Linked DNA regions of Drosophila melanogaster. The protein of the gene in region 2 purifies or fractionates together with the protein of the main gene of each other region. This does not show direct contact. Each region holds a gene or a part of one and is shown on either strand. Other genes may lie near its edges.

Evidence for each region.
Region 1: the proteins of Burs (region 2) and Pburs fractionate together in Drosophila melanogaster (co-fractionation; 2 studies listed by BioGRID). This does not show direct contact.

The regions. Positions count from the first base shown.
Region 1 is NT_033779.5:14,409,646-14,425,474, forward strand, and holds Pburs (partner of bursicon), read right to left. Parts: upstream 7,687-15,829; 5' UTR 7,674-7,686; coding exon 7,419-7,673; intron 7,361-7,418; coding exon 7,190-7,360; 3' UTR 7,084-7,189; downstream 1-7,083. Other genes in the region: Cpr35B (cuticular protein 35B), read right to left, coding at 14,768-15,412, 15,475-15,486.
Region 2 is NT_033777.3:21,762,974-21,779,173, forward strand, and holds Burs (bursicon), read left to right. Parts: upstream 1-6,544; 5' UTR 6,545-6,577; coding exon 6,578-6,707; intron 6,708-6,771; coding exon 6,772-6,896; intron 6,897-6,954; coding exon 6,955-7,221; 3' UTR 7,222-7,306; downstream 7,307-16,200. Other genes in the region: GABA-B-R2 (metabotropic GABA-B receptor subtype 2), read right to left, coding at 7,556-8,175, 8,237-8,703, 8,761-8,863, 8,929-9,274, 9,687-9,923, 9,990-10,100, 10,163-10,526, 10,587-10,882 and 4 more; CG6800 (uncharacterized protein), read left to right, coding at 13,165-13,365, 13,419-13,803, 13,866-14,016, 14,069-14,240; Polr1H (RNA polymerase I subunit H), read right to left, coding at 14,316-14,340, 14,405-14,624, 14,676-14,793; tsl (torso-like), read right to left, coding at 15,379-16,200. UniProt on the Drosophila melanogaster protein: Final heterodimeric neurohormone released at the end of the molting cycle, involved in the sclerotization (tanning) of the insect cuticle, melanization and wing spreading. Heterodimer specifically activates the G protein-coupled receptor rk.

The DNA.
Region 1 (15,829 bases), on a different chromosome or scaffold from region 2:
AAAACCAGTTCGCTCTTTGTTGTTTGTGGCCGTTTTCGTTTTCAACAAGTGTGCTTTTGTTGTTGTCCGAGGCCATGCGCTCCCCTTTTTCTTAGGGCGCGAGAGCGAAAGAGCGAAGTAGTTGGGGCACGAGAGCAAACGTTTTTAGTTCTGCGCTCTTTGCTGAGCGCGCATGCTTTTTGCTGAGGCAGCGAATTTCGCGTGGGAGCTGAGAGCCAAAAAGCGTAGTAGAATTGGCGGTTAGTAGTAGACGGATACTATGTGACGGAGAAGCAGTGTTGACGATGGGAAGTAACGGAAATTTCTGGATATTTTTGAAAATGTATATTTCCGCTTTAAATTTGATAAATAAAATGAAGGGTAATCACGGTACCCGGTTGTTTAAGAAACATTTTTTTATATTATACTTATGTACCAAGAATTATAAGGATTTTTTAATATTATTAAATAAAATCTTAAACATTTATTATACACATAGTAGGGAAAGATTTTTGGAAATTTGTAATTCTGAGCACAAGTAAGTTCACACTTAGATCAAGCAATAAGTTTTAAATATTGCGTATACGCCCAGTTGGAAAGTTTTTCTTTGCGCGCTATCATTGAGTACAAAGCTAAAAAATTCTAGAAATGTGTAAATAAAATATTGGAAATTAAAAATAGAGCCAACACAACACACACAACGCTGGGCACACCGACACCAACACGCTCATTGGACGATCGCCGCTTCTGTGTAGCCATTTTGGGTAATTTTGTTGCTGTTGTTGTTGTTTCACAGTGTTTTGTGGGGAATTTATTTCCACACATGTGTGTGCAGCCATGGCGCCTGTGTGCGTGTGGAGAGCGGAACGGCGTCGGCCATAATTGTTTACGAGCAGGTGGGCGTGTGTGTGGCGCTCGTTGGTGTGCCAGTGTGAGAGTGTGTGTGAGGAGGGGTTGGGGAATGTGTTAAAAACTGCAAGCCGAGGAAATATGATTTAGAGCACCAAACGAGAGAACCATTTCCGTGGAGAGAACACGATTTGGTGTATTTCCCTCACTTCGCAGAGAGAGTTTTCCCCACTGTAAACAGAAAACAGCTGGCGAAAATGAAAATCTCGGGTTGCACATGATGACGGGAAATGTCTGAGACGAACTTATCCCTCATTTTGCACACTGAAATCAATTTTAGTTTCTCACTTAGATGCTATAAATGCAATAAGAATGGAATGTTCGAAAGTAATATCGTAACATCTTTAACATTAAAAAATGTTAATAAAAAAAAAACAAATTTGTAATTCAAGTTTGCCGATTAAATTTCTCTTAATGCTTAATATGTACATATGCAGTTTAATATCTAAATCATAGCTCCCACGTTAGGGCAATTTAAGAAATCAAATATAGGAGTCATAATCTCTGGTTAAATTGCTCTATTGGGTCCGCATCATCGTAAAAAGCAAAAATGGTCGTAAAAACACAACCAAGACCACGCAATTGGTTAAATATTCAAAAGGCGAAATGCTGCTCTAACTTTATGGCATTAAAATGTTTAGGATTTGAAAGAGAAATACACAATTATACTAATCGTGGCGCTTTGAATTAACAATCAATAATTTACATATTTCGGCCATATATTGACAGCTGCCACTGCTGCTCCACGCCTTCTTGGAGCATTTTTGGTGATGCTCTCATAAAATGCCCCCGTCCATTGTGGATTTTTGTCGTGTTCATTAAGAAGCTTTTGAAAGTTTCGCCTTTCAAAAACCATAAAATGTTTATTTAGATGCCACTTTAATGGCGGACAGAGTCAAACGTTTTATAGCTTCCTTTTGTTTCACAATATGGTTTTAGTTTCGTTTTCGGACTTAATAGACTCATTTCTGGTTTAACACAAAACAATCGAGTTTCAATTAACCACACAAAAAGTATATGTCGTTTTCGCTCTCTGGGTAAACCACAAAATTAAGTGGCTAACAGTATTTTGTGGCCACAACACATTACAAACCACACAAGCGAACTGAAAAAAGGGAAATTATAATAGAGAGCCGGGTTTGCCCATATCCTTTTTTTTTTTCGTACGCGTTTGTCTGCCGCGCCCAAGCGAATATCCCCAACAGACAAATAAGCGGGGGTGCGTTTTTCACGGTGCGGGGGTCGTTTCCGTTTCGGGCTTTTGTTAGCATTTTAGCAGTTCATTTATGCGGCTTACAGGACGAGGAGGCGGCACATGTGACCGGAAAAGCCCTTTTAGTAACACAAAATGGTCACCAAAGTGGTTGAGTGCTTGTTAGTTTGCGGGATGTCTCGGGAATAATTTGAGATGTGACAATGGGCTTGGAAAAACTTCCTCATTACTATTTGACTATATATTTACTAGTCTTTCAAAAGGTATCTATAAGTATGCAATGTTTTGCTTCAAATAAAAACCCCATCGCTTTTGTAGAACTCGCTATACTAAATGTGTAAGCATTTGTTTTATTAAAACGTTTAAAAGTAGTTCATCAATATTAATGTATTTCTTTGTTGAAAGCAATAATAATAAACTAAAATGCATATGTAATTATCCGCAGTGCTGCCATTTGTATGCTGTACCCTCTTAAGAGATGCTGCAGTCCTCGGCTGCATCTACTTACCCGTTGCTCGATTGCAGTTGAGCTTTACCCCTTGCCACGCTTTCTCCTATGCTTTTCATCTTTTTACCCTTTGGCCACATTTTCCGGGCGACTTTCCCGTTGTATATGTGTATGAATTATGTGCTGCACTCTTTTTTAACCCCTGGCATATTTTACAAGCTGCTTTACTAGCCCCGTACTTATACTTTGCTCTCCAATAAACATACAAACGCACTTACCCAGTGTTTGTACATGGATGTCAGGAGTGTGTGTTTGTAGGGTTTTGTGTTTTTTTTTCATGCTCGTTTGTCGTGGCCTCAAGTGCGCTGGTGAGTTCATAAATTTGCCCACTGGGGCGTATGAGTAATGTGCCAAAGGGGCTTTGCTTTCTTCATGTAGAACTGTGTGCAACACACACAAAAACGGTTGGGAAATGAAAAAATCTAAAAGCCATAGTCCAGCAGGCAACATATGCAGCCTTCAATTTAATATACTTTACTTTCAGAATTTGTTTTCAAAAGGGGCGAAAAAGCTTAAAGCAAAATAATGTAACTAAGCTGTGTCTATAGATTGAATTCCGTTTATACAGGACAACCCTGACTACGTTAGCTGTTAGAAACCTCAAATCTTTATAGTTAATTAAAATAAATTAAAGAAAAACATTGTATTTTTAATACATCACGAACTTATGTACACCATGTTCTGCAAGCTGCTAAGCATTTCAATTTCCTTTTCTTTGCAATCTCTAAGCATCTAATGTTTATTGCCCATTATTATAATTGCGCAATCTTTGCGATGCAAAAGGTGTCCCGGTCTTGGGCCAGTTTTCCTTCAGTTGGCCACATCCGGTCAACTGGCGGCGTTTATCATAATTGCAGTTCATTTGCATGCCCGGGAAAATGCAGTTCGCTTTTCACATGTACACTTTTTGCCGCTGCTGTTGGTGCTCTCTTCATCTTTTCTGCTGTCGCCTGTCGCCGCCTCTCATGCGGCAACAGCAACTGTCGCCGTTGCTGTCACTTGATGTCGCAACGCATTAGAATATGTTGCATGTTGCCCCTGTTGGCCCACTACGCGCTCGTCCCTGCCCAGCAACTGGCAACCTGCAACGGTTGCAGTTGCATATGCAATATGCAGGCGCGGGCAAATTTTTATCTTATGACAGCTGCTGCTACCTCTGTTTTTTGTAATGCCCTTACTGAGAGTACTTACATGTTTTCCAAATTCTGGTGAAATACTACTTACAGTTGGTTTTTGTCTTCAAAGGCTTGTTAAATATTAAATATAAATATTTGTAAATATCTTGGTGTTATTAAAGTTATCAAATATTAAAAACGAACTAAATTAATAGTTAATAAACTTAAGTTATAAAATAAAAAAACATTTCCTCTGTTAAGATTTTTTCCGAAAATGTAAAAGATGTTTTACGTTCTTATGGTTAGAGCATTTATTAAGTCGTTCTTCCTTTCCACTTGTGGCGCCTATGCTGATTCAGTTGCAGTTGCTAGTCGGAAAAAATATGTTGCTGTCGTGCCCGGATTGTTGTTGTTGCTGTTGCCTTGTTACATGTTATGCCCTACGCACATGCGGCTGGTGGCGGAGCAACACAGAGTCACACAGTTGCTGCAAGGAGGAAAAAGGCGCCCGAAAACAAATGTCAGCTGTAAAAATCATAAATTTAATGCAAAATGCAAAAACGCTTTGCGCTCCGCTGGGCTTTTGCTCTCTGACAGGTGACCCCTTGCACCTCGCAGTTGGTCCACCCTAGCTCACAGCACTCTGAATTTCTGCCGCTTCTAACTGAAATATGATATATGCGAAGTTTTGGGCGGAAGCTGCCACAATGCTGCTTCCTGAATACTCTAAATGAAGGAAAAATTAAGGATTTAGGCTAGCTGTTATTAATGGCATGGATGCACATGTTGCAACACAGAATTTAAGCTACGAATAAGGCGAGATGAGAATACATTTTCCTATAGTAATAATTTAATCGATATACGCAAAAAATACCTAATCAACTCCTTCTCTTGTGTTCCACAGACTTATTAATTAGTTGAGCTAAATCCATAAAATATTCGATATGGTATTGTCCAGATATGTCGAATGGCATTAGGCTAAACTATAGTTATAATAAACACAACATAAATTTCAATCAGAAAGCGAAGCGATCTTCTTGTTAGCTTCCACACGTATAATACCATAGGCAAACAAAGAGATTTTTGAAAAAAAAAAGCAACAGAAATACCTTTGAAGATAAAGCCAATCAATGATGTCACGCCTTCTTGTCTTTTGGCCATTAATGTGGGCTGATTGTGTTTGAGGGCTGAGAGCTAATACGGCAGTGTGTCTTGACACTAAAAGCATTTTTCCGTTCGACAAAATCTTTGTTGTTTACATTTCGCCTTGAGCTTTCATTAAAAACAAACAGAAATATATTTCACCGAATGACAAACAATCAAATTAATTGCGTTTTTATGCAAATGCGAATGGAGAAGAAATAAAGAATTCGAAATGATGAAAATTAATTGCCAATATTAACGCGTTTTAACACAAAAAGTATGTTAGATATTGTATAAGCGATAACCACCACCAGCAGCAGCAGCAACAATAACAATAAAGTAGCATTCAAGTAAATGTTTATATTTTTTTGTCCCCCCTTTTTTGTGATCTTCAAATTTGTTATTAATTAACATTCATTAATTATCATCAAAGTGACTCGGAAGAATATAGCAACTTGCCTGCCTTTCGTGGCCAGCGCTTAATTTATAACTTATAAATATGCAGCAATTTATTTAACACGATGCATGCGTTCGATTTGGCTCATAAATGTGGCCTGTGAGTGAAATTTATTGGTGTATTTAGCGATCGATTTTAATAATCTGCGCAAAGTCTTCCAAAAGTTTTAATTTCTTTTTAAGAGCCCTCTGAGTAAACCACACAGTACAGGAACCTGTTTTTATCTTGAAATTTTAATATCCCATTTTAGTTCAAAGTATCTTTCCCACTCGTTCTTAAGTTAATGACTCAAATCGATGCACACTTTCCAGGTGATCCGCGATTGAAGCTAAATGAGTTATTCAGCACCTGCAATGGACCAGTAATTGTGTTGTTGTGGAAACCCGTTCGCTTATAGACTGTTTAATTTGATTACCCTAATGAAATGTTAAAAGTTTTGAATGATCATCTGATCGCAGGTAGTTTTTCGCTCACCGGTTCTACGTGACTCCATCCGGGATGCAAGATTTGCCGAGAAATCTTGCTCGATGTATGTTATAAATATAAATATATAATTTATATTGTGTCGGCACGTTGCTGTTGATGGAGCCACTGACGCGCGATGCCACCCAGGAACCCCCCTCTTGATCCACCGTTCCCCCTTGGACAAATCTTGGATGGGTATATGGAGCTCAGCAGCTCTGGAAGATCACTGCGGTCCGATGTTAATGGGCGTGTCAACTAAATTATGAGTTTCGCACACACGAACGAAAGGCGGCAACTCAGTACCGACCGGTGGAGATCACATTCAGCTGGGTAGTAAGTATATGGGGAGCTGTGGAAAAATGCTTAAGTAAATTACAGTGCGTGCAAATGTGCTTGTGAACATGAAATTATAATGTAGCCCCGAACCGAGCGTGTTCCGTTCCAAGCCAAGCTCCAATTTACAATTAGTCGATGTTGCCCCATCTCTGGTGGCTTTAATCAATTCAGCTGGGTACTCGCATGTCTAAAATAAAATATAATAAAACAGGAGGAATAGGGAAAATAATGATGAAAATTAACAACCAGAAAGCGGTTTTCATCTTAAGTGCAGTTTATGCTTGATTATTATGTTTGCGAGACGAGTTTCCGGGTGGTTAGGCATCATGTGCCGCACAGATGCCAACATAAATATGGCAATTGCGAGTGCGCCGGACCCTCTGACTAAATGAGTTAATTTGGTAGCCAGGCTGGGCCAAAAAGTCAATATGCTCGTTGCCATTTCCCTGGCCATTGCAAATGCCTGTCAGAGGACGAGTGATGTATTCCATTTTGGTTGCAATCAATTTTTGGCCTCCAGTGATATGTCAAACATTTTCCGATTCAGGATTGCATTGCATATTTTTGGGAAAATCAAAGTTCATGCATTCATGGAGTATAGCAAGTGCCTCTCAGCGAAATGTGTACTGTATTTTCAATCAAACAGATGTTTGTTAGCCTTTGGCTTACTGCATATCAATGTAGCAAACAATAATGCATGAAACAACAGACACTTTAATCATGAGCAGCTATCAGTCTAATGTTGTTATTCAAACACACACGAAGATCCATTTTAAGCATAAGTTAAATAAGGGCGAAAAAGTGGAAAGTTCAATATAGAAACTAATTTTGTATTAATTTAATTTAATGGTTATATTAGAATAGACATTAAAGATATATGTATTTATTTAACTGAAAAAGCTGGGACTTTCACTTATTCCTTTATTAATTCGAAATATTTAAGAATATACATGATTTTAAGTAATGGTACTTTTAATGTGGGGCTCGTTTTGAAAATATATGAAACATATTTCACTCTGCAACTAAAACAAATGGATGCAAATAGCATAGTTTATGTTGAGGCATTAACGTGTGAAATCGCCACATTTGAAGCACTTGCACTCGGTGGGCTCCCGAAGACGTATATCCATGCTTCCCATTTCCGGAGAGGTCAAACGGGTGCCGTCCGGGTCATAGCAATGGGTTAGAGTGATGACCTTTTCCTTGAGGAAGCTTTCGCGGCAGCAGTAGCACTCCTGGAAAACATGGAACCTTAGAGTTCGCTAACTCTATAGAGGCAGGATTCAAACTTACTTTCAGAAACCCCGTGGGCGTTATCACCGATGGTTGCACCTGACTGTTGCACAATCCTTCGCATTTGTTGACGATGACGTCGGCATTGCAGGTCCTCTGCATCCGGCCCAGCTCGTCGAACTCCTCCTTGATCAAGTGGATCTCCGACTTGAGAGTCTCGCAGTTCTCGTCGCCAGTGCCTTGGCTATATCGCAATGCCCTCAGGCATTGGGGCACTAGGATCGCGGCCACAAAGAGCAGTTCCTGGACATGCATGCTGACCCACTCCCAACGCCCAACTGTTTGGAATCGCTTCACCCGGAGGCTCTTTTATACGGAAGAGGGCTGGACCTGATTGGATTCCATGATATATGTCAATGACTGGCTGATGGAATGTTTGTGTCCTGCCCAGCGGGTGAAAATTCGGTCGCTTAAGTTGCGGTAGGACATGGCAATTTACACATCACTTTTGTGCTCCGTTAATTGGTAATTAAATCAAACGACTTGACCACAAGTAACGATGTCGACTGTATCGATTCGATTTTTTACACGTTAAACCAAATCGATAAGTACGGAATAAAAATATAAAATGATTGCAGAAAATTTAATAACTTAATGCCAGATTGCGTTACACTTAGCTTATACTATTGGTTATATTACAATAATTTATTGGTGTGAGCAATAAAGAGGCAAATACTTTCAGCCTTAATCTATACAAGGGGCTTTCCCGCAATTTTCCGGCCACGTAAACAAAAAATGAAATTGCAATCTGTCTGAAGTTTTCCACCTCTCGTGTCTGTTATTGCCTGCTTTTGGCCCTGTTGGCCCTCCCCTGTTGGCATCGTCTTTGTCTCGCCCAATTTCGCAATAACCACATTCTCTCTCCCAGTATCTGTAGCTGTATCTGTATCTGAATCCCACTGTGGGCTCGACCGCCTTTCTCCACTTCACTCCTCTGTGGGCCATGGTCGATGGTTGCGCTTTAGAATCATCGACGCAAACGCAAAAAGTCTCAATGGCGCAGTAAATTATGTTTTATTATGCAATAAAGTCAACCATAAAAACGCTGCAATAAATTAAATTAACTACTAAAAATGCTGATTTTATTTTTACCCTCCGTTTGCGAAATTGTTGTTCAGTCAGTTCCGTCTCTCCATATATACATATGTATACACACACGAGTATTTGAATACATAAACAAGGATGCATGCTTGTGTATCTATCGTATGGCGCAAAGTTTTGTTCTGAATTTTTGGTTTACTGTCTGGATTTTTGCCTATTTTTCCTGTTTTTCTGTCTGCGAATAGTCTAAATGGTAGTTTGCTCGGAAAAACCGCTGCGCTCAATGCTGGAACTCAAAGTTTGACTCAGGATTTCAATTAAAATTATAAAAAAATAAAGACTTATTTACATTTCTAGACAATATTGCAATTGTGATTCTTAAAAAGAAAATACTTCTAATTATAAAAATTAATTCAAATTCCCTATTAAAAAGCTGAATAATGGATGATGGTGTACAAAAATTAGTTAGTATGTTCCGCCCAGCCTAAAAGATTGGTGCTGCCCCAATGCAGCTCAGATCAATGTTCAAATTAGTGCCATTCCCTAAGAAGTCCCGACATCAAAGGATAACCAAGGGTAAAAAATACATCCTGCAGGCTTCGTGTCCATGAATGAAATCCAAAGCGACACACGACCGGCAGCAGTAAAACAAAAGCGCAATGCTTTAAATGAATAAATATGACACATAAATACCATCCAACAATGGATAGCCCGTGTGTCTTTGTGCAAAAGGAAAAAACAACAAATTCAACAGATTCGAAAAGGCTAAAAAAAAAATAAATACAAAAAAATCGCAAAACATCGTAACAACAAAGCCAACCGACCAAGCGACAGGGACCGACAGTTAATTCCGCGAAAGAGGAAATTACAATTCATGCCCTTTGGCAGAACTCCATGATTATCAGATCGAATTAGTGTCTGCCTGGGCATCTCGTCCTCCCATCCTCCCATCCTCCTTTCCGATACACGGATACTCTTCGGTGTGCCTGACTGTTTGTCCTGGGGCCACATGAGCCCCACACATTTTTTTTTGCCGCATTCGGTGGCGTTTCGGCCCTCAACCGAACCATTTGAATGAACTTGGACCGGCTGCTCCTTTTGTTTCCCGTTAACAACAAATACAACAATTATGAGTGTGTGCCCCGTCTGGCCGAGTCCTGTGGAACCTGTCATGACCAGAAAGTTGCCCTTATTTTTTGGTTCACCGTGCGTTCATTTCGTTGTCCGCAGACAAGGAAAAACAAATATATGTGGTAAAAAATGCAGCATTTTGACTGATTTGCGGGTGTCGCCATTATATTCATATATTAAATAATAGAATTAGAACTTCAAAGTGCTATATGCTAAGCCTAATGCGGTTTTCAAATAGTTAAATACTTGGCAACATTTATATATGCGATGTCTGGATTTTTTCTAATAGTTTTTTAATTTCCCCCAATTGATTGGTTTGCCCTTGCCTAATTGATTTAGAATTAATACTTACTGTCCGTGTCTCGTAACGCCAGCTGTAGAAACATACTCGAAAAATGATTATGGGCAGACACATTAATTAAATTAAGCCGACTTTGGAGCCTTGGGGCTGCCTGTCTGATGACTAGAGACTGGGAGTGAATCGGTCTGAAGTGGCTCTTAGTTGGCCAAAATCGCTGTTGACTCATTATGGTAAAGACATGTGTTAATTTATGTAACTTTCCCAAACGGCCATTGCGACGTTCATTAATCATTTTTTTAGTTTCGAGATTTTCAAGTTGGCCCCATGTCTCGCCGTGTGCTGCCTACTCTTTTATGTTATTTTTAGTTAATTGTTTGCGCTGTAAAATGTTTATGCGTTTTTGGCCAGCAGCTCGGTTCGGCTGCCTTTGCCCTCTTTGACTAATGTGTGCCGCGTGTTCACATTTTTGTCTCAATGATTTATAGTTGTCCGCTGGACAAAGTCATTTTTGCTTTGGAAGCGGTTTTGTGTGCCTGCAAAACGTATCAATCATATTGGAAATTAATTTTGATAGCCACATAAAGCTAGTCATATAAAAAAAAGGTGGAAAGTGGGAAAAACAAAGCAGCTTAAGCAGAAATCTCAGTTATATTGTAGTAATTAGCTCCTAATGGATTCATTCATTTTCTATCGGAATTCAATCGAGGAAAATAACTTAAAACTGTTTTTCACTACCTGTACATAAACAATTTGGGAGTAGTACTTTACAAGTGCAGAAATAGTGAAGCGAAAGTAAGCAGCTCCAACGATTTGCCCGTTAGCCACCTCTACACTGCCCTGCATAATTATGGTGCGTATGAGGCCCGAACATTCAATCTGCCTGCCCCATCCAAAGCTTTAAAACAAAACCCCTAATCAGCATTAAGGTGCGCATAGCCTATTATTAACTTGATTACAATTCGGGATAAGCGAAGGCAGCCAAATCAGCTGGGCTATGTGTGGGTAACACCCCGGCGATCGGCGCAAAGGGAGGGCCTATATGGTGGGAAGTGAGGATCATTTTGCACGATTTACGAGATACGAGTTGCGAGTATATGTATGTATGTTCATATATAGTCGAGTCGAGTCGAGTACCCGGGGCTAGAGTGGCGGATAATGGTTACGGACAATGACGATGAGTGGATGGTGGCTTCTACTCTCTCGCCGTGGAATGGAATAAAGACTGCCCCACCGTCGAGCACATCCATCAATCGTGATGGATAACTGACAGTTTGGGGCGTTGCGGGTTCTCAATTTTCATGGTCAGGCTTCTCCGGTGAAATAAAGAAAAAATTCCATTTACCCGTCAACCCAATTTGTTGATCATTAATCATTGATATATGTAGTATATACGGTCAACCCGTTCGTCTATTCGTTTAGTTGCTGCGCTTATTTGGTTGCTTAAATGTAGCATTGACCCAATGGGGAATTGAATTGATTGCGCATGTGCATGTGCGATAATTGGCATAAATTAATATGGCCAACAAATTTAATTAGACATAAATCAATGAGTTTATTAAACAGTAGCCAGCGCAGACTGCAGGCAGCAAGCAAACCGGCAGCCAATCATGCCAAACCGTTTTCCACCAATAAACTGCCGCAAATTGGCTAATACCGAATGGCGTTATATGTCGAACCCAGAGTTATGCCCGTTTCCCTCTGTCTATCTAGCCAACGCCCACCAGTCTCGGCGCGCACATTAAAAATCAGTTAAATTCAGAAACACTCTACCCACTGACCCCCGCGCCAACACAAAAATGTCCATAAACAATTTTCATGGCAAAAAGTCCGACCACGACTCAGTGGAATCGAGGGACCTCTCACTGTGCCGGCTGTCGAGAGACGCAGCTGGATTCGAACTGGTTATATGAACGGACTGGACTCGACTTCTGTGTGCGGTTGGATGTGCCACCAAAAGCCATTTGGCACATACATTTCAAACATTTATGGTTATTATAAAGCATTTAACATTATTATGGATGCCATGGGGCATCTGTTACAATCCGACGGCCAACAAACACCGGCAGCAGCAGCCCATATAGCCGGCTTAAATAATCACTCTGCGGTGTAATTAGCAAAATATTTATTGATATTTCGCAAAGCGTGTGCAAAAATAGGCAATGCAATTGGCCAAATGCTGCAGCTTTCGGTGGAAATCTACATTGCAATTGGGAAAATCAGTTTTTTGGATTTTACATGACATTTTATTAACTATTCAGATATATTAATATTTAAAAATCCTGAATATTTATTGAAACTCTTTTCTATTATGTTATTATAGTTTTCTTCTAACAGAAAATATTTTTGAAAATACTACAGTTAAATGCATCACACAAATGAATTTAAAATGTATTTATTTCGAGACGGACTACTCATGTTAGCACTTTATAAAACGACATTAATTGATTTGGCATTTGTAGCTTATTTGACTGGACACACAATCTCCTACCGAATCAAGCTTATTTATGTTCCACAAAGAGGCCAAAAAAAAAACGAGCAGAAACTTGACAAATAAGTTACGCTTAATTTTCTGGCAAGCGTTTAAAAAACCGAAACACGCAACAAGGCAGTCAGCCACCTAAAGCAAAAGCCATTAAAAGCGACGCGACACTTTTGATAACAAATTCAAAGCCCAAACCGAAGCCAAAATGAAAATCAAAATCAAATTCGAAATCCAAAGCCGAAGCAAGTTCAGCTTGAACAAAAAAAAAACAAAAAAATCAAGCCAAACTTACTATACTATACCGAAAATCAGAGGCTGCCCATAAACATTGAATTTTACGACGCTGTGTGGTCTCGTTTGACATATTGTGGGCTTTACGATTCCAAAATTAATGACACCATGGCCCAAGTCAGGTAACGGGCATTGGAGTGGATTCGATTGGATGGGATGGGGATTGGGAGCGCACTGCTTACGGATTTTGACTTGGCTGGTGCCATACCGGTTTGGGAATGTATATTTGGTTGGGCGAAACGACGGCCTCATCAGTTAATAAGACACATACCCATTTTTATGGCATTAAACGACGACAAGTGAAACATAAAATATATATTTACTTTATTTTTATGCGCGAATGGTCCGCTTTAGAGCTCAAAACTCACTTGACAAAGCAATTTGCAATGCAAATGGATCGTCGCGTTTGGGGTTAGTTTCTCGGTTTTCTAAAAATTCATTCCGTTTTGCGTTTCGGCAACTGTGTTTTTTATTGCTTTGATTTCATTTCAAATAAATCGTAATCAAGTGAATTTACGACCTGTGCCAACAGCGACTTCACATTCCCTTGAAGCTTAGCTTAATTAATTTCAATTTAATTTTTTCCGAAACAAAATTTATGATTCAATTGCATTAGGTGGCATGTAAATTTTTCACTTTAGCTCATTAAGTGTCGAATCGCATTGATTAAGGATCGTGATTAAGGAAAATTAAAATACAAAACGCATAATTTCCTTAAATGTCAGTTGATAATTTCTTTTTTATAATCAGAAATCGCAATGAGATAATATATAATCTTAATATACTGATACTTATTTTGATTGGGAATATTTTCATTATTGAAATGAAGCATTTTTAAACGTATTATTTCTTAATTGAAAGCTTCTTTTACAATATTTGCGCATATCTACTCAAATGATTTATTTAACAAATTATTAGTATAATTTCTGTTTTTCTGACCTACAAATTGAGCTTCTCAATATGAAAAAATGAACCTCAATTAATCATTATTTGCAACACAAGAAGCACAAAAATCCGGCAAAAAGTGCCATAATAAATATAAGTAATAGCTGTTGCAATTTTCGCACTATATCTCGTATATTACATAATGTAGAAAGTGCGTGCCGCACAAACACATGGAACGTATAAAAATAATAAATTACACGAAGCGAGAGGCAACTGGAGTCCCGGTCGAGTTGGGTCGAGAAGGGATTTTTGTGGAGCGTTTATTATGCGCACAATAAACGCGGCGGGCGCAGCGGCGACATAAATTAAATTTATGATGCTTATAAATATTCCACAGTCATTTGTAATACAGCAACAAACGAGGGCAACAGGATAACGCAAGGATGTGCCGAGCCTGTCTGTTAAACAAATTGTAGCCAACTCGGGCTGAGGGGAAAGCAACAAACAAACAAAAACACACGCACTCGCGAATGCTAGGGAGATATATATATTTGATTTATGGGTGTGCGCGGATGAATAAAGGACTTTCAACTCCGAAAACCCGATTGCCACCACTAGAAGTGAAAAGAAATCGCCCATAAAAAATCGCCATGTGCACGCATATATACAATATGTGTGTATGCTTGCATAAAAAATACAAGTTTCAGCCACCTGAAATAGCCAGCGAATAGATAGATATGCGGGCTAATTTATGGATAAACTGTACAAATATGATTTATAATAATCGAATTTGTGATATATCTCGCCTGTCGTGTCGCACATTACTGATTCTGACCCAAATTACGGTCTATGCGATTCTCGTCTTGGTGTTGAGTCGCGAATGCCTGCCTATTCAATTCATAAATCACCATATGCTAAATATGCTAAAATTTCACTAATAATTTGAAATGTTTAAATATTCCAAATGTATCGAAAAGAGCTATCTACTGTGATTTGTTTCTTTTTTAAGTTAATAGTTCGTTGGTAAGTATAGAAACTTTATAATTCGATTTTAATAGGTTTTAGGGAAACTTTAGTTACACTTCTTGTCCATTTCAAATCAAATAATTATTTCAATTTTGAAAATATTTGCCTGATTTATTTTGGTATAACAACAATAGGTATTTGGTAAGAGTTCAATAAACGATTGATAAACAATTGTATAGCTTAGGGGTCAACTCAATGGTAACCGTGTCCGTGCTCGAAACCATGATCCTGACCGTGGCTGTGGCCGTGCCCATGTCCGTGTTCCTGTTTCAGCGAATAGCTGTGGGAGCTGCTTCCGTGACCATGTCCATGACCATGACCGTGACCGTGCTCCTCGTGTCCGTGGCCATAGTCGTGTCCGGATTGCGAGGAGTGCTCCTCGAACTCAACGTGTCCGCCCTCGTAGCCGCTGTGTCCATGGCCATGGTGCTCCGCCTGGTGGTGATCGTGGAGCTTCTCGCGATGGACATGAGCCTCGAATCCCTTGTGCTTGTCCGCCGTGTAGTGGACAGTTCGCTTGTGGCCATCGGCATCGATCAACTCATAGTGTCCGGTAACCGTGTGGCCATGTCGTGACTCACTCTGTGACTTCACATCCCCAGTCTTTTGATCCTTGACGCCGTACTGGAAGTCATACTCAGCATGGGAGTCATGGTGATCATCATGCCCGTGATGGTCGTGATGATGACCGTGATGTTCCTCGTGATGATCGTCGTGCGATGTTAGATGCACGGAGGCATGACTGGTGGCTCCACCGTGATGACCGTGGTGTTCGTGGCCATGGAAAGGAGCTGCCCGAATAGCCGCAATGGCCAAGAGGGCAAAGGCGATGAAAAACTAAGGAAAATCGAGGTGAATAATAATTTGCTTTAGTTGTTATCCTTTTTTGCTGAACTCACCTTTTGAGCCATGGTACCGCAGCTAGTTTATGAGTTAATCTTAGCTAGACTACTGTTGTCTGATCTCCAGACCAAAGTGAACTGTACCTAAAACACCTTTAACCCGGCCTTTTTATAGTTGGAATAAATCGAACCCATAGGTTAAACTTTCAAAAAAGAATTGGTAAATCGGTCTTTAGTTACGCCCCAATTTGCAGTTCAAGATCAGGTCGTACTTTCGCCCCAGAGACGTGCAATTATATTCGACTGCCAGTTCGACCCTTTTATTTAGCTGTTGTTTCGAAAATCCGTAAAAAAAAAAAATAAATAAACATAAAAATGAGGAAAGAAAAGAATGGCAGTGTAGTAATTCATT
Region 2 (16,200 bases):
CCTTTTCTTTAAAATTCTTTATAGTGACAAATTCGAAGATTTGTTCACTTGGTGACAATTGTGTTTGAATGATGCTATTTATTCTTGCTTCTTCATTAAGCCTTTGAAAGAATTGATCTAAATCGATTATTTCATTAGAATAAAAATTAGTCATATCAAAACGTGTTATAATTTGTTTTCCTCTTTTCAACAAACACTTATGCTTGTCTATTTTGAGTATAACATATTTTTTGGCATCAATGTTATTGATTACCTGATAGATATTGGGCATTTTTATATTTTCTTTCTCATTTGGTTCATGCAATTTTTCACCTGCGCAGGTATTTTTCTGTCTTGTTGTTGATCTTGTTGTTACCTTTAGTATCTGTCTATTTATTGCTTTAAGTTCTCCGATTGTTATTCGGGACAATGCGTCTGCGACATGATTATCTTTCCCCTTGAGATATTCTACTGTGAATTCAAACTCCTCCAAGTCTAGTCTCATTCTGGTTAATTTTGAACTGGGGTTTCTCATTGAAAAAAGATATGATAGTGGCCTATGGTCACTTTGTACTAAGAAATGTCTACCATATACGTATGGTCTGAAGTGATTTATTGCCCAGTGAATAGCTGCTAGCTCCTGCTCTGTAGTGGACTTATTACTTTCGCCTTTTGTAAAGCTTCTTGAAGCGTATGCCACTGGTAGCTGTTGACCGTTATGGTCTTGAGATAGTACCGCTCCACATGCTTGTTTACTAGCATCTGTGGTTATGCAAAATTGTTTGCTGAAATCTGGGTACTGAAGGAGTGTTGGTTTCATTAATTCCCTTTTGAGATATTCGAATGCATCATTGCATTCGCTTGTCCATTCAAATGGAACATTCTTTTTACAAAGCCTCGTTAAGTGGCGTGATTTCTCAGAAAAGTTCTTAATAAATCTTCTGTAATAATTGCAAAATGCCACGAAGCGTCTAGCTTCGTCTGCGTTTACTGGTTTGGGGTAGTTCTTTATTACCTCATATTTAGAGTCATCTGGCAATATACCTTTGTCAGTACACTTGTGACCTAAATAAGTAACCTCTTTCATAAAGAAAGTGCATTTTTCTGGATGTAATTTTAAATTATGTTGCCTACATAATTTGAAAACGTCGGTTAGATTTTTAAGCATGTGCTTTTCAGAACAGCCTATGACTACTAAATCATCCATATACAGAAATGCTTGCGAAGGCGTTAAACCTGAAAATGCAAGGGTCATCATTCTTTGGAAAGAATTTGGGGCTATTTTTAAACCAAATGGTAATCGCGTGTAGCGGTATGCTCCCGTTGAAGTTGAGAATGATGTTATATTTCTTGACCTTTCGTCTAATTCTATTTGATGGAATCCTGACATCAGGTCTAGGCACGAGAAATATTTTGCTCGGCCTAATTGATCAAGAATATCTTCTATTCTTGGAAGTGGGAATTTATCTGCTAGCAGTTTCTTGTTTATTTGGCGATAATCGACTACTAATCGCCATCTCTTTTCCTCCGAGTTAGGCAGTGATTTCTTGGGTACCAAGAGAAGAGGGCTATTATATTCTGAAATAGATGGTTCGACAATGCCATCTTTTATTAATTTGTCAACTTGCCTTTGAATTTCTGGTTTTTGACTTTCTGGCATTCTATAGTTTTTGATATAGACTGGAGTTTTGTCATTTAATCTCAATTTTTGCTTGTAAAAATTATTAGCTGATATGGTTTCTGTTTCAAGACCAAAAATATCGCTATATTCGGTGCATAATTTTGTTAAATCGCTTTTGAATAACGATGGAAATTTAAGAAGTTTTAATACTTCTGAAGTTCTTTGTGCACTATTTTCTATATTTGCGTTGTATACATCATAATCATCCAATGATTCGCTTTTTATATTTGCGCTACTAACTATAGCGTCTTTTTCAGTTGTATTAATAATTCGAATCAAGACGTTCTGAGTGTTTACGAGTGCACTTGCGATTATTATGCCAGGTTGTAATTCCTGGTTGGGGATGAGGACATGTGTGTCAGTAGATGTTAGTTGAATCTTTCGAATCACTTCTGATCTAGCTGGCAAAATTATTTCATTATCTAGTGAATGTATAATAGGAATGTTTATGTTCCTGAAATTTTTGGGCCTCAAAGTGAACCAATCTTCTTGGTCGTGGAATTCCAAAATACAATTGTATTTCTTAATGAAATCCAAGCCAATTATACCATCCCCTGGTATAGGAAAATTGTCAGGTACGATATGGAATTCATATGGTATTGCTGCATTAGCAATACACATTTCTAAATGTAGTGTACCTAGAGACTGAATTGTCCCTTGCCCTATTCCTGATATATTTGTTGTATTTTTTGGATTTAAATCGTTAAGATTATTGTTTCTGCATTTAAGCAGGGAAATTTCTGCACCTGTATCTATTAAAAGAGTTACCCATGAATTGGTACTCATATTCTTCAATCGTATAAAAATGCTTAAATTGAGATTAATTTTGTATAATTTTATTGTAGATTGTCGCTCAAGGGGGTATGTTCGTTTTCCGATTGTATGTTTCGGACATTGTGGGCATGACTTGTTTTATAGTTATGGTTTTGGTTACCTCTTGAGTAACCTCCACCTCTATTATAATTTTGGTTACCACCTCGTCCTCTGTTTCCACCATGGTAACCACCTCTGCCTCTATAGTTGTTATTGTAGGAGTTATAATTTCCTCGGCCATTACCTCTGTTTTGGTAATTTCCTCGGTAATTATTACCTCGATAGTGTCCTCTATTATTATAGAATAATACACTATTTGAATTGCCGGTCATTTCTGTACTGCAGTGTATGTATTTTTCAATCACGCTATTCATCGTGTTGAAATTTCCAGCTTCCAATATGGTTTTGAGCTTATCGTGCCCACAGTTCTTGGTCATTGCAGATATGGCTTCCTTTGTAGCGAATTTGTCTGCATTGTTGGAATCTAAACCATCATCTATATAGGCTGCTTCGAGCAACCCACGTAGGTTTTCTATCTCCGTGGTATATTGCGCTGCAGTTTTGCCGCGCTGTTGTGTACTAAGTATTTTTGCTTTGATGACATCGGGCGATTCGCCTTTAACTGATGCTTTTAATAGATTTATTATACCGATAATGGTCTTTTCATTTTCAACTTTGTGTGATAATGGACCAAGTATCTTTGTCTTGATTACCTCAACCGCTAGCATCTCCTGATCTCCTTTTGTCAGATCTATTAGCCGGAGAGCCGTGAGGAATCTATTCAAGTTTAACTTTTTGCCGTCAAACTCAGGTATTGTGGACGAAATTTGTCGCACATATTCCCTTGCTGTTGCGGCAGAGTCTGTCATTTTGTCCGTTTCCTGTATTCTTATTCCTGTATTTGAATCTGAAAGTTCTTCTTCAAGTAATTCGGGTAATGTTATTACCGCTGGAATTGCAAGATCGTGGAGATCCTCTTCTTTTATTTCTATTTCTGATTCTCCTACACTTTCGATATCCTCACCGATCTCAGCCACTATAGGTGTGCTTAAAATCGTTGGGATTGTAATATTTAAGTTGTGTCTGTACTTGACGTTTAACAAGTTCTCACGGAACCTGTTTAGCAATTTTACTGCTTGTGATAAATGATTTTTTGTTAATCTTTTCCTTTCTCTGTAAATTAATTGGCGTGCTCCATTAAAGCATCTTACCAATATCTGCGCATGCTTGTTGAGAGTGTCTTGTTGCACTTCTCTATTTGGTGTCATGCATTTATAAGACTTGTCAAAAGTTGTTTTAATTTCTTTAAGCTCGTTTTGTATTTCTTGCCAGTCCATTTAAAGAATACTATGGATTTATCTATGCAATCGAACTTTATAAATTTTGGCCTCTCTCAAATAGGTTTCTTCAATAATCTTTTTTTTTTTTTCATTCTAGTTTTCTGATATTAAAAATAAAAATTTTAGATCATCTTAATTCAAAATACATTTTGGATGTTTTTTTTTTTTTTTTTTTAAATTTTATCCAAACTATTCTCTGCTTTGCCTATATAACGCCTCTTTATTATCTTGTTATGCTTAACATATAGCGTTAATATAAACTGAGCGACTGTTACGATCGTCATGATCAAAAGGAGTAACCACAGTGACTGAATGTCATCTGTATGGTCGACTATTTTTAAGTTATTGACCACATTGGCCGTATTATCTTTTGTCTGACTATCGTCAGATCCAAACCAACCCATTTTTGTATATTTTTATTTTTTTTTGTTTTATTTTTGGGTTTTGGTTTATTTTACTTTAAAAATATGTTGTTTTGATTTTTTTTTTTTTTTGTTCAATATAGTTACATTTTCCTACCTAGTTGGTGTATGGCTTTACGGGCCATTCTTCTCATCGGGCAGAAAAAGTTCCGCTCAATGTTACAATATTTTGTGTAATATTAATATGCAGCGCAGTGCATCGAGGGTGGTGTGCCACGCAGGGCAACAAAAAAAAATATTTTATTTTTCAGCTCCTATTTGCTTCACTCTGACCCTCCTTGCGTCAGCTGGACGTCGCCGGGGTTGGCACGCTGACACTCCCTCGATGACGTAATGAGCGGGCTGCTCACCACGTTGATGATGATTTCCTCATTTAGGGGTTATGTGGTGGAGCTGCAATGTCTGCACGTATGTTCACAATGCGGTGTGAACAGTGGTCCCTCGCAGTCGTTCGGGCATCTTTTCTTGAAAACAGGCAGGCTTTTCGGATTGGGAGTTGGAGTTTTGTTAATTGTTAACGATTTTATTTGATTTTCTGAGTGAGCGCGTGTGGTGGGGATTTTTTTCTTGAGATATTCGACACAGTGGTCTAGCTCAGCTTGTAGTTTTTGAGCTTTCGACCATTGGGGTGGTGGAGTGTTCGTATATAATAGCCACTTTATGTGCGCTATTCTCTTTTTTATATTATGTCGAACTCCGCCCCTGTTTTTTCCCATCACACTGACACTCTACTCACTCAGATCGCTTTTTTCTTCATAATTGCCGCCGTCTTGGTGGATGAGCATCGAAGTTGAAAATTATCACAAGCGGTTTCCTTTAGCTTCTGCTACAACTTATAACGATCCTTTGTCACGGTCGCCATGTAGTTAATTAGAATTCCAATACTTCTGATGTAGTTAATAAAGTCTCAAAACGCAGTTGGTCATTTTATCTTTATTTGGTTTTTATTAAGCGAGCGTACATTCCAGATCTATTCCTGATTTATAACTGATCTTAGTGTGGTCTACAGGCAGATCTCTTGTGACAGCCAAGTGCTGACACTAGCAAATTCTGCAATATGTAAGTATGTAGTTCATACTCGATAACCAATGGGAGTCGAGTGCGACCCCTAAAGGCGTACATGCTGAATTCGCATATTTAGTATTAGGGTGTATCTAAAGATCTACTAGGGTGACCCTAAGGAATTAGGGTGGTCCTAAGTTTACTTATTAGTCGACTTATTATTATGATTCATATTATAATTATTATTAATATTATTATTATTATTGTTATTATTATTGTTATTATGTTCGTATATACTACACTCCGCTGGATGTGGCCAATCGCAACAAACTGATCAAATGGCTGTGCAGATACCAGGCCAGCAATTGCAGGCCAAAGGTTAACGTTCAGTTCGTAACAGGTCATGAAGTACCATCGCCGGATTACCGGGAAACGTTCTATTGTGCCGCCAGTGGTGCCGATTACAACTCATACACCATGTTGTGGGGTCAGTATTATTTGGAAAATCGCACTAGCGAAAAGAATATGCTCTGGGCTGCAATCAGCTGCACGAGAGACTACGAAACCCATTACCACAAGATGATCATCTCTGGTACGGAAAGTGTTGAACAAAAGAAAATTGGTATCGCCCGTATGTACGAGGAGAATCCTGACTTGGTTCAGGCAATTTTCGAAATGATTACCGAAAACATTATGGAATTAGCGTATAAGTGAGTTATTTTTCATAATTTGATCATCTGAGAGTGTGGTTTGATTGTTTATTGAACACTTAACCTTGTCGCTTTTCAGCTTCCAGAGTTGGTCGGGACACGGCCGAGGTGATCAATGACATGGCGGAGTACTTCACCACCCGGGAGCAACAGCAGTTGCTCAAGGAATTCTACTACAGCAATCACCAGTTCTTCGGTGAATCGGAAGAGCTGCTCTCCAAGTCCCTGGTCACTGTGGAAAAAAACCTTAACTGGGCGGAAACCCATTTGGAAGGCTTAGTAAAATATCTGGCGGACAGAAATGGTAGCTCCTGCCTGGGAGCCACTTCCTTGGTGGTGGTTCTGCTTTTAGCAGTGGGCAGCATGTTGGCCTGGCCCTGATTAGCCAATAAGTTGTGAGGGAAATAAAGAGATTGCCGTGGTCGTGCGCCGCGGGAGAAATGCCCTTTTCGTGTACGCAATTACTAGGCAAAAAGGTTTGGACGGCCCTTGCTTTATTAGGCCATAATTTACGCTGTCGAGCGGCCATTAGAGCGGCATCCGCTGGCCAAGTTGGTCTATAAAAGCCCGGCGGCTGCAAGTGGCGTTTTCCATTCCACGTGAAAGGACACTCGCAGTCGGGCCGACGAGATGCTGCGCCACCTGCTCCGCCACGAGAACAACAAGGTCTTCGTCCTGATCCTGCTCTACTGCGTCCTGGTCAGCATTCTGAAACTCTGCACGGCACAGCCGGATAGCTCTGTGGCCGCCACGGATAATGGTATTTGATAAGGCATTTGATAATATCATATTATTCGCTCTAATGGATTCCATTTACCATCCAGATATTACGCATCTTGGCGACGATTGTCAGGTGACGCCCGTCATCCATGTGCTCCAGTATCCTGGATGTGTGCCCAAGCCGATTCCCTCGTTCGCCTGCGTGGGTCGCTGTGCCAGTTATATCCAGGTGGGTGTTGATATACTTGAAATATAAATTATAATTTGATATAATCTGATGACTTTAGGTTTCGGGCAGTAAGATCTGGCAAATGGAGCGTTCCTGCATGTGCTGCCAGGAGTCTGGTGAGCGGGAGGCAGCCGTCTCGCTATTCTGTCCCAAAGTGAAGCCCGGCGAGCGTAAATTCAAGAAGGTCCTGACCAAGGCGCCATTGGAGTGCATGTGTCGGCCATGCACTTCCATTGAGGAGTCTGGCATCATACCACAGGAAATTGCCGGCTATTCGGACGAGGGTCCACTCAACAATCACTTCCGGCGCATTGCTCTGCAATAGATTCCCCCATCAGTTTAGCACTCATACCCATGCCCATTTGCTCATTAAAATAAATTAGAGTTGCCGTTTCTGCTTGTACACAGTGAAAAATGTGCCTCTGAAAGCTCATGCCAGTGAAAGGGAAACATCAGCAGATATATGATTATTTTAAATTGTAATTTATTTCCCAACTATCTCATGTCATTGCTACTAGTTCACTAAATGGTGTGTGTCCTGCTTCACAGGGTATGTATGTAGATGCGTAACTCCAAAGAAAACAAAGATAATCTTTACACTGCAACTGGATCTAACAATAGGAGTTTAACTACGGCATAATGCATATGACTCGCGCCGCCTACAAGTACTCGACGATATCGCATTTGATGGATATATTCGGACAGCTCTGGCCCACGGCACTGCGGCCCCGATAGTTGGGACTCTTCTCGGTGAGGAGTTTCCGGAAGATGGGCAAAATTGCCGTCTCGCCCTCGAGCAGTTCCGTCTCGCTGCTGGCGCCGTAGATGCTGCTATCCTGCTTGCCGCGCTGCCTGCTCCGCTGCTTATCGGGCGCCACATTGGGCGAACTGTGGTGGTGGGCGGCGTGCTGGATGTTAGAGCTCCGGCTGACCTTACGCGGCTGGACGCACGGCTGACTGTTGGGCGGCGGATCTCGTTCCCGTTCGCTGTCCGTCTCGCTCTGGCAAACGGTGCCCTTTTGCGGTTTTGGCCGATGTTTGTTGCGGTTCTTCTCGGAGACGGACCGCTGGATGGGCGAGGTGGTGTTCGGGTCATAGGTCATCCCGTGGCCGCCATGATGTTCCGCACAGCGCTGCGGACTGGCGTAGTTCCGCGGCGACTGGCGCTGCTTGGCGTGCGACAGCGTGTGCGTGTCCCAGAGGTCACTCTGTGAAACCACGAAATTGGACTTCAGAGCGGAGCCCATGCTGGTGCGGCGATGGTCGGAGGCAGTGGGAGCTATTTTCGATTAGAAAATCGATAGTATTATAGTATTATAAGAGACGCGCAGAAAACTTACTCTTAATCACAGCCGGAGTACTGGGCTTTGAGTGTGGACACATGTTGCTCAACTCCGATTGCGATGTGGAGATGTTGGTGGAGGAGTTCCGGTGCGAGCTGCTGTACTTTGGCCGGGCGGTGGGCGTCTGGCTGCCACTGTCGTAGTGCCTGGAGGCGGTCGATTGACGCCTCTCCCGCATGCTGGAGCAGTCTCCTCCGCTCCGCTTGCCCGCCGTACTGGTGATGCTGCCTATATTATCATCGGTCTGAGCGGACACCGAGTTTCTCTTCTCCAGATGGCGATGATGATGCTGCTGCTGCTGCTGTTGCTGTTGCATCTGCTGGTGTTGCTGCTGCTGCAGGTGCTGCTGCTGCATCTGCTGATGTTGCTGTAAGTGCTGCTGCAGTTGCTGCTGGATGGGCTGCATCATAGTTGGAGCAGGGGCATGCGAGTGGTGCTCTACAATCGATTGCTTTTTCTTTTTGCTGTTGGAGAATATCCATAGATTAGAGTGTATTTAAGACCAAAATTTAAGAACTTACGGAGGAAGCGATGGCGCCATCACTGTAGACTGCACCGACACAAAGGAGTTATCCATCTCCACATGAGTCGAGGTCACACTATCCACGGACGTCATCTCGGTAACTTCTATGACAAACGGGTTGCAATGCATGAACATATCTACGAAATCCCCCTCCTTAGCCACTCACCTGTGGTGCTGGGCATCTCTCGACGCACCGGTGGAGCTGAGAGCCTAACAATGTCATCGTTCAGTATGGGCTCCAGTTCGCTACCGACGTTGGAGCCACCTGTGCAGGTCACCCCATCGATCCATTTGCGTGCCTCGGGTCCCAGCTTGCGGATTAAGGCCTGCAGCTCGTTCTCCTTCTCCATCAGCGCCTTTCGGAATCGGCAGTTTGTGTTCTTTACATCTCGCAATCGTTGCTCCAGTTCGCACACCGAGGAATCCCGGCGTCCGTTTTTGGACATGGGTCTCAACGTGGCCCTAACGCGTTTGTCCACCACGCCCTGGGGATTCCGCTTCAGCTCCACCAACTGCAAAACGATTCGCATGAATATTAACCAAAGATTATACTACGCGGTCAACATCTAGGAAGGATCAACTCTACGGACAGTAATATAGGATAGTTAAAGATATTCCAACAGCAAGGAAGTGGGATTTGCCTACAACCTTGCTGCTGCTCTTAGTGGGTTCTATATAGTTCAAGTTTATAGTTAGTCTGTAGTGTTATATAGCATTTTAAGATCTGTTTTCGAGTACATGTTGTTTCTGTATCAAGGTGTATCAACGCTAGACGAAAGATCAGCTCAGCTGGCGGTAAAGTACGATCAGTTAAGAAGCTCTAACCACAACTGATCGGCCTATTACCGCCGACAAACAACATTCATATTACACGATTATTATATGTAACATATAACAGCTACAAAAACTACAAAACTTCCTTACTACCAGTCTTACTTTCGGTACGAACACCAAACACAAAGTGGCTGTCGTACAAAAAATGATAAAAAACGAGAGTAAGACAAAAACTAAATCCTTTCGATCCGATAGCACCAGGGATATAGCCGCTCCGGCCAGACAAGTGATGAACACGTTATAAACGGAGAAACCAATATGCTTGGAATCGTTCAGAGCCGGTATAGAAACATGTCGAGTTTCCCAGGCCAAAAAGGCGCCAAAAACCTATTGAAAAAAATTATTGCTTTATTATAATGATATCTTACAAATTAATGTTTATTATATACTCACCAACAACAGTCCCTTGTAGGCATAAATAATGCTAACGAATATGGTCATGTGCTCAGACTGGCAGTACTCGTTTTCGGGGATCACCAAGACATCATCAATATTCTCGTGATGCTGTAGTTAATAATAATCATTTTAGATTTTTCACTTCAAATATGTTCTATCAATGCACTCACCAAGGGTTCCAACTGTTTAGTTTCGCGGTAAAAGGGATCGGCAATCTGCCAGGTGGTTATAATGGCTATATCAATGGCCAAAAGCACGCCCACAACCATAAACAATTGATAGTCCTTGATCACCTTCTTATTGAGCTTCAGATCGGTGAATATCGAATGCACCCGCCACGTCTTCGAGAACATGGCTCCAAAACTGAGACTGAATCCAGCCATCAAGATCCAGGCTCGAGCTGTGCAGATATAGGGAAAAGCTGCCACACTACTTAATGTGGTATCGAGACCCAGGAAAATGATGCTCAAATAGGTCATCATACAGCCCACAATGATCAGATTGTTCAAATGGGGACTGGACATCTTGATGTATCTATAAAAACATCAATATTTTATTAAACGAAATTGTTTAATATAGCATTGTTAAGCTCACCTTTGATTGCGATACTTAATGTTAAAGGCCAGAAAAACTGTGGCAATAATCACTCCAATGACCGAAGCACTAGCCGATACAATATATATGGTTGGATTGACCTGACTGTGCTCGATGTAGATCAAAGTGCGATCCTTGGGAGGAGTTTTCCCCACCCATTTGACTGGTTTTCCCAAGCTTAAATCCAAGTGTGACTTCTGTGAGTGGTATTCCCCGATCTTTTCCATTTGTCCCAGCTGAAACTGATTGATCAGGATGTTGGCCTTGCGCTCGTTGTTGTAGAAACGCACGGGTCCCTTGAGAATGTAAAATATGTTTTAACTGCAAAAACTGGATTGTTTATCTATCTACCGTCACACCCTCGAAGGATGTATTACGTAGAGCCTCAAGGAAGACACTCTCCCAGTCCTTCACGCGATAATCAAAATGTGTTAGCAGATCCTCTCGCTTTTCGGCCACATACTGAATGGCCAGGGCAGCTGCCCAGATACCATCGTAGGTATAGCCATGAAAGCGGGAATATTCAGTGCCTCGCAGTCTGTCGTACTCCACAAGATACTCATCAGCAGTCTAGTAAAATATGAAATTTATTACAAGAATTTTAATAGACTTTACTGGTACTAACAATGCCAGCCACTGTGATGTCACCACTGGTGGACAAGGGCAAAAGATCCACTAGAATGGCACCTTCCAAGGCTGTAGCGATCTCCTCCACACTGCACTCGCTGTCCTGCGTGACATTCCACCAATCCGTGGAATAGGTAGCCATGATCAGCCATTGATAGGCTCTGCCATACATATCCAATCTGGAAGGGAGTTTATTGCAATAATTTTAAATTGAGACTTAAGTTAGTATATCCAACTCACTTATAAGCCTCACAGAATGCCTTGCGTGCAAAGTGCTCGTTAAAGTTGCCCAGAATGATCCTCACGTCCTTCTCGCGCAGTTTCTTCAATGATTCAGCCACATCGTTGACGAAGCTCTGCGTTTCCACCACCTCGACCTCCATGGCATCCAGGTCAGCCACCATGTGATTGTGGGGCAGCGAATAGCGTGGCTCATTCTGGTAGACAGTGCCCACTCTGGTCCAATTGAACTCCTTCAGCAAGGCCAGTCGCGGCGCATTAAAGGCATTCTCCGAGGGTACCACGCGAAAGAAATTCGGAAACGCATCCTTGGTGAACATGGGATGGGTGTCCGCGTAGCTGAGCTGGGTGAGGTGCCAGTGCTTGCTGGCCTTGGCTATGGGATCGGTCACATGGGTGCACGCAGCGCCGAAGAGCATCACTTTATTGGGACCCGAATGCATCATATCGAAGAAGGACTTTACGCCCACAGCAGCATTGCACTGGAAAGGAAACCAAAATTACATTCCAGAATATATGGAAATATGCATAGGTAAAGGTGTGATATTACAATATGAACCAATGAACATTAAAAAAAATACCTAATTGAACTTTAAAAACCACAAGTCCATCATCAGAGATTCACTTAATGAAATCTTCAAGCTAAACCCTAACTCACCTGAGTGTCGTTCCACCACATGTGCAGCCTGTAGTTGGCCAGTATCTTTCCATGCTCATTAACGTGACCCAAGGCGAGCTTTACACTGGGCATAACGCCCCGACCGGTGTAGGAGTTTTCCACGCCATCCCCGTACGGGAAGAATCCCGCTATGTAGACGTCCGATCTCTTGGCTGTCCTGCCACAGGCGGTGCTCCAAAGGAGCAGGAACAGCAGGCTGGCGAATGGAAACCAACTTGGCCGGAACATGTTGACCGCGTGGGCTGTAAAACGATTCTAAATGTGAATAGCGCATATCGAGGACGTGAACTTGGAGCCAAGTTGTGGGTGGTGAATGGCAGTGGTTGGTTTCGGGTGAGCCAAGGCTGCCGAGGCAAGGCTGCGCCCAGTGGGTGTGTATTATTTTCTACGTTCTACCTGTGTTTGCTGGCACTCGCATGCAATTTTACAGGACAGGTGGAGCAAGGCTAAGGCCAGTCCAGGCCAGCAAAATTGCTTCAAATTGCTGCAGCAATGCTGGCACGTTTAGTAATTATAAAGCAATTTAATGATCTAAAGGATTCGTGCATTATTTAGTATGCTCGTTAACGCGAAGGAGTATCTTCCAGGTGTTGCATCCTCTTAAATCTTATGTGTACATGTTTTTAGGAACCTACCAGCTTGCTTAGTCCCAGAACTGGCTTTTATTTCACTACCGATGCCATTTGAAACACTTATTTTACATCAAATCTCAGCCAACGAAGAACTTTTGCAGTGCGAGGGTCCGAAAAATTATGTATCCCCCTGACTTGACATTTGTCTGACAGGAGGAATTCGAGGCAGGAAGTGCGCATGTCCTTAAACCGAAAGCTGTCACTGCTCCGCCTTGGCCTAGGCTTTCCAACCCCCGTAATTACCATAAACCCACTGCGCTTGTAAACATCCTGCAACAGGTGGTCCCATCAGCTGGTACTCCGGCAATTGTTGTGCCCGTTGCCATGGACTACTGGGGTCGAAAAACGAAGTAGATAACTGCTCGGAAAATTACCAAATTGAAAATTGTGAGTAACCATAATGGAGGACTATGCGCCCAGCCGCTATAAAATGCTTGAGAAAATCGGCGAAGGCGTCCATGGCTGCGTGTTTAAGGCCATCGATCTGCAGCGCAACAAGGAGGTGGCCATCAAGAAGGTGGCCCTTAAGAACAAGTTCGGAAACATAGCCCTAAATACTTTGAGGGAAATCAAGACCCTGCAGCTTTGCAAGTCTGAATATGTAGGTATACCATATATCTATTTTCCATTTGTTAATTATGTAACTAATTGTAGATTCTGGACATCATTGATATATATCCTGACCTAACTGGTCTCTCCTTGGTGCTGGAATACCAGCCGGACACTCTGTACAACCGCCTCAAGAGCGAGGTTAATCCCCTGAGCCGCCAGCAGGTGCGTAAGTTTGCACACCAAATGTTCAAGGGGATTGCATATCTGCATGAAGCGGGTCTCATGCACCGGGATATTAAACCCGCCAATCTGCTTATCAGCGATACAGATATGCTTAAGATTGCCGATTTCGGACTGGCCCGTCTGTACTTCCCTGAAGACGAGTCGCGCCTTTATTCGCCTCAGGTCTCAACCCGGTGGTATCGAGCGCCAGAGATTCTATTTGGCAGCCAGAAGTATGGAACCGGAGTGGATATGTGGGCGGCAGGTTAGCCATGACTCTTTGATGGGTTTACATATATCCTTATGGCTGACATTATTGCTATCCAGGTTGTGTTGTGGCGGAGATGCTACGCGGAGTGCCCCTGTTTGCGGGAACCACCGACATCGAGCAATTAGCCATCATCATTCGCACTCTGGGCAGCCCACGTCTGAATCAGTGGCCAGAGCTGACTTCTCTGCCGGATTACAGCAAGATACGGTAGGCATTCTTACCGTCTATGATTACTTAATCCGTAATATTCTTGACGTAGGTTTCCCAACTCCGTGGGCATTCACTGGGACAACTTGTTTCCCAGCTGCACACATGCGGTGGAAATCAATCTGGTCTCGAATCTGGTGGTCTACAATCCCAAAAACCGACTCAAGGCCAGCGAGGTGGGTTCTGCTTCAAGTTTGACACCGGTTAGGTATTATAATTGGTAAATTCTATATTTCTCAGGCCGTCGAGCATGATTATTTTCATTAATCTAGGACTATTTACACGGACATTGCTAGCAACTAAGAGTTTTCGGATTCTTTGAATCTGCAAGGTAGAATGTGTGTGATTAGTTGTGGAAGTGAAGGAATATGTTTATCAGGACACCTACTTGCACTTAAGGCAGGTAAAGAACACCGTCTGGCCTTCGTCCGCCGATCGAAGCTGCAGGGTGGCATAGGACATCTTGTCGTGGTTGCACTTGGGACACTTCCTCTCCACAACGGGGCCATCCGCGTCCGATTCCGACTCCCTTTTCGTCCTGTTGAACACCTTGCTGGGATCGTAGGTGTTGAAGTGTATGGTAAACTCGGACTTCTCGCCGCTGTAAACTATTTTTAAGTGTTAAATAAATTAAACAAAGTTGTAATTTCTGGATTTACCATCTGGCTGAAACTCCTTCTTGCAGTTGTAGCAAATCACATTGCCCTTGACTTGAAGCTCGGGCAGAATGGAGCCGCAGGAGGGGCAAAAGCCCGGACAATTGGAAAAAATATCCATGCCAGTATATATCACCCAAAATCAAAATCAAAATACAAAAACCGCACGTGCTATTTCGGATTTCAGTATGAGCGTAACTGAACCGTTTGAAATATACCACACGGTATTAAAAATATACTTGATTCATATACTAAATACGTAAGGGTGGAAAACTAGAATAAGTCTGGTTGAAAGCCTTGATGAAACGGGTAGAGCCGTTTACCCGTTTCGATTACCGGTTCTTAATCAAAATCAATTATTCAAAATAAACTTTCAAAATAGTATTTGATATTCATAGCCAATATTACGTAATGAAAACAGTTAGATTTTAATAGCCAATATCAAGTTATGAAAACAGTAAGATTTTTACTTTTATCTTTACTTTGTATTAAAGTTTACAAAACTATTACATCAATAAGGCGATCTTACGGTCTAGTTAGCTGAAATGCAAGTCGGATGTGTACTGTGTTCCAATTAAACTACCTAAAACTATCACAGGCAGAACATTAACTACGCACTAGAGGTTCCTAACTACAACTAAGCATCTAGGAACTATTGATCCTTGGCTGCCACATATCGCACAGTATATATATATTTAAAATGCAGCTATCGGGTGGGATGACTCTGCGGCATGTTAAGCTCCCAGAGCTTCACATTGTTGTCGAGAACCTCGTGGTACCAGCTCTCCTTTTCCGGCTCCTCCCGGAAGATGGGCTTCAGCGACTTGAGGTCCAACTGCAGTATGGCATCGTTGCCGAGCAGCGAGTCCAGGGATCGCAGTAGAGTACTATTACCGTGCAGTTTCAGCAGGGTCACATACTTGACCACATAGTACTCGTACTGCAGCTTCCTTCTCGCCCATCTTTCCACTGTAGCATTGGCACTAGCCGATCGAATCTGGCCCAGATGGGCGGCAAACCAGGGCGCAAAGTAGTTGTAAAGATCCAACTTGGACAGTCCGTTCAGACCTTTACTCTTGATTCGCTCCTTGATCATGCTGTAGTTCTTCCTGCTGTACACAAACACCTGATACAGCGAATTGCCGGTGGTGTATGAGTTTACGTAGTGGGTGCCCACATCTTCCATAAATCGCACTGCGGAAGTTATATTTCCGATTTGCAGTTGATCCATTCTCGATCGCACATCCGGCTCCAAGGGTTGGTGCACCGGAATCTCAGCGTTAAGACGCCCCGTTTCCCTGAAGCGCACCACCCTCACCAAAACATACGAGTAATCGCCTTGGATGAAAGATGTATTGATGCCCAGCTTCTTGGCCGCATTATCCGGAAACCATCCGCCAGTAAATGCCTCCCACGGTTTGTCCATTCGCTCAATGGAAAAGTCACGGAAGTAGGCCTGGAACAGTTGCCTCCGATTCTCGCAGAACTCCATGTGAAAGTCTCCATGAAAGATTCCGGGCGTGGTGTC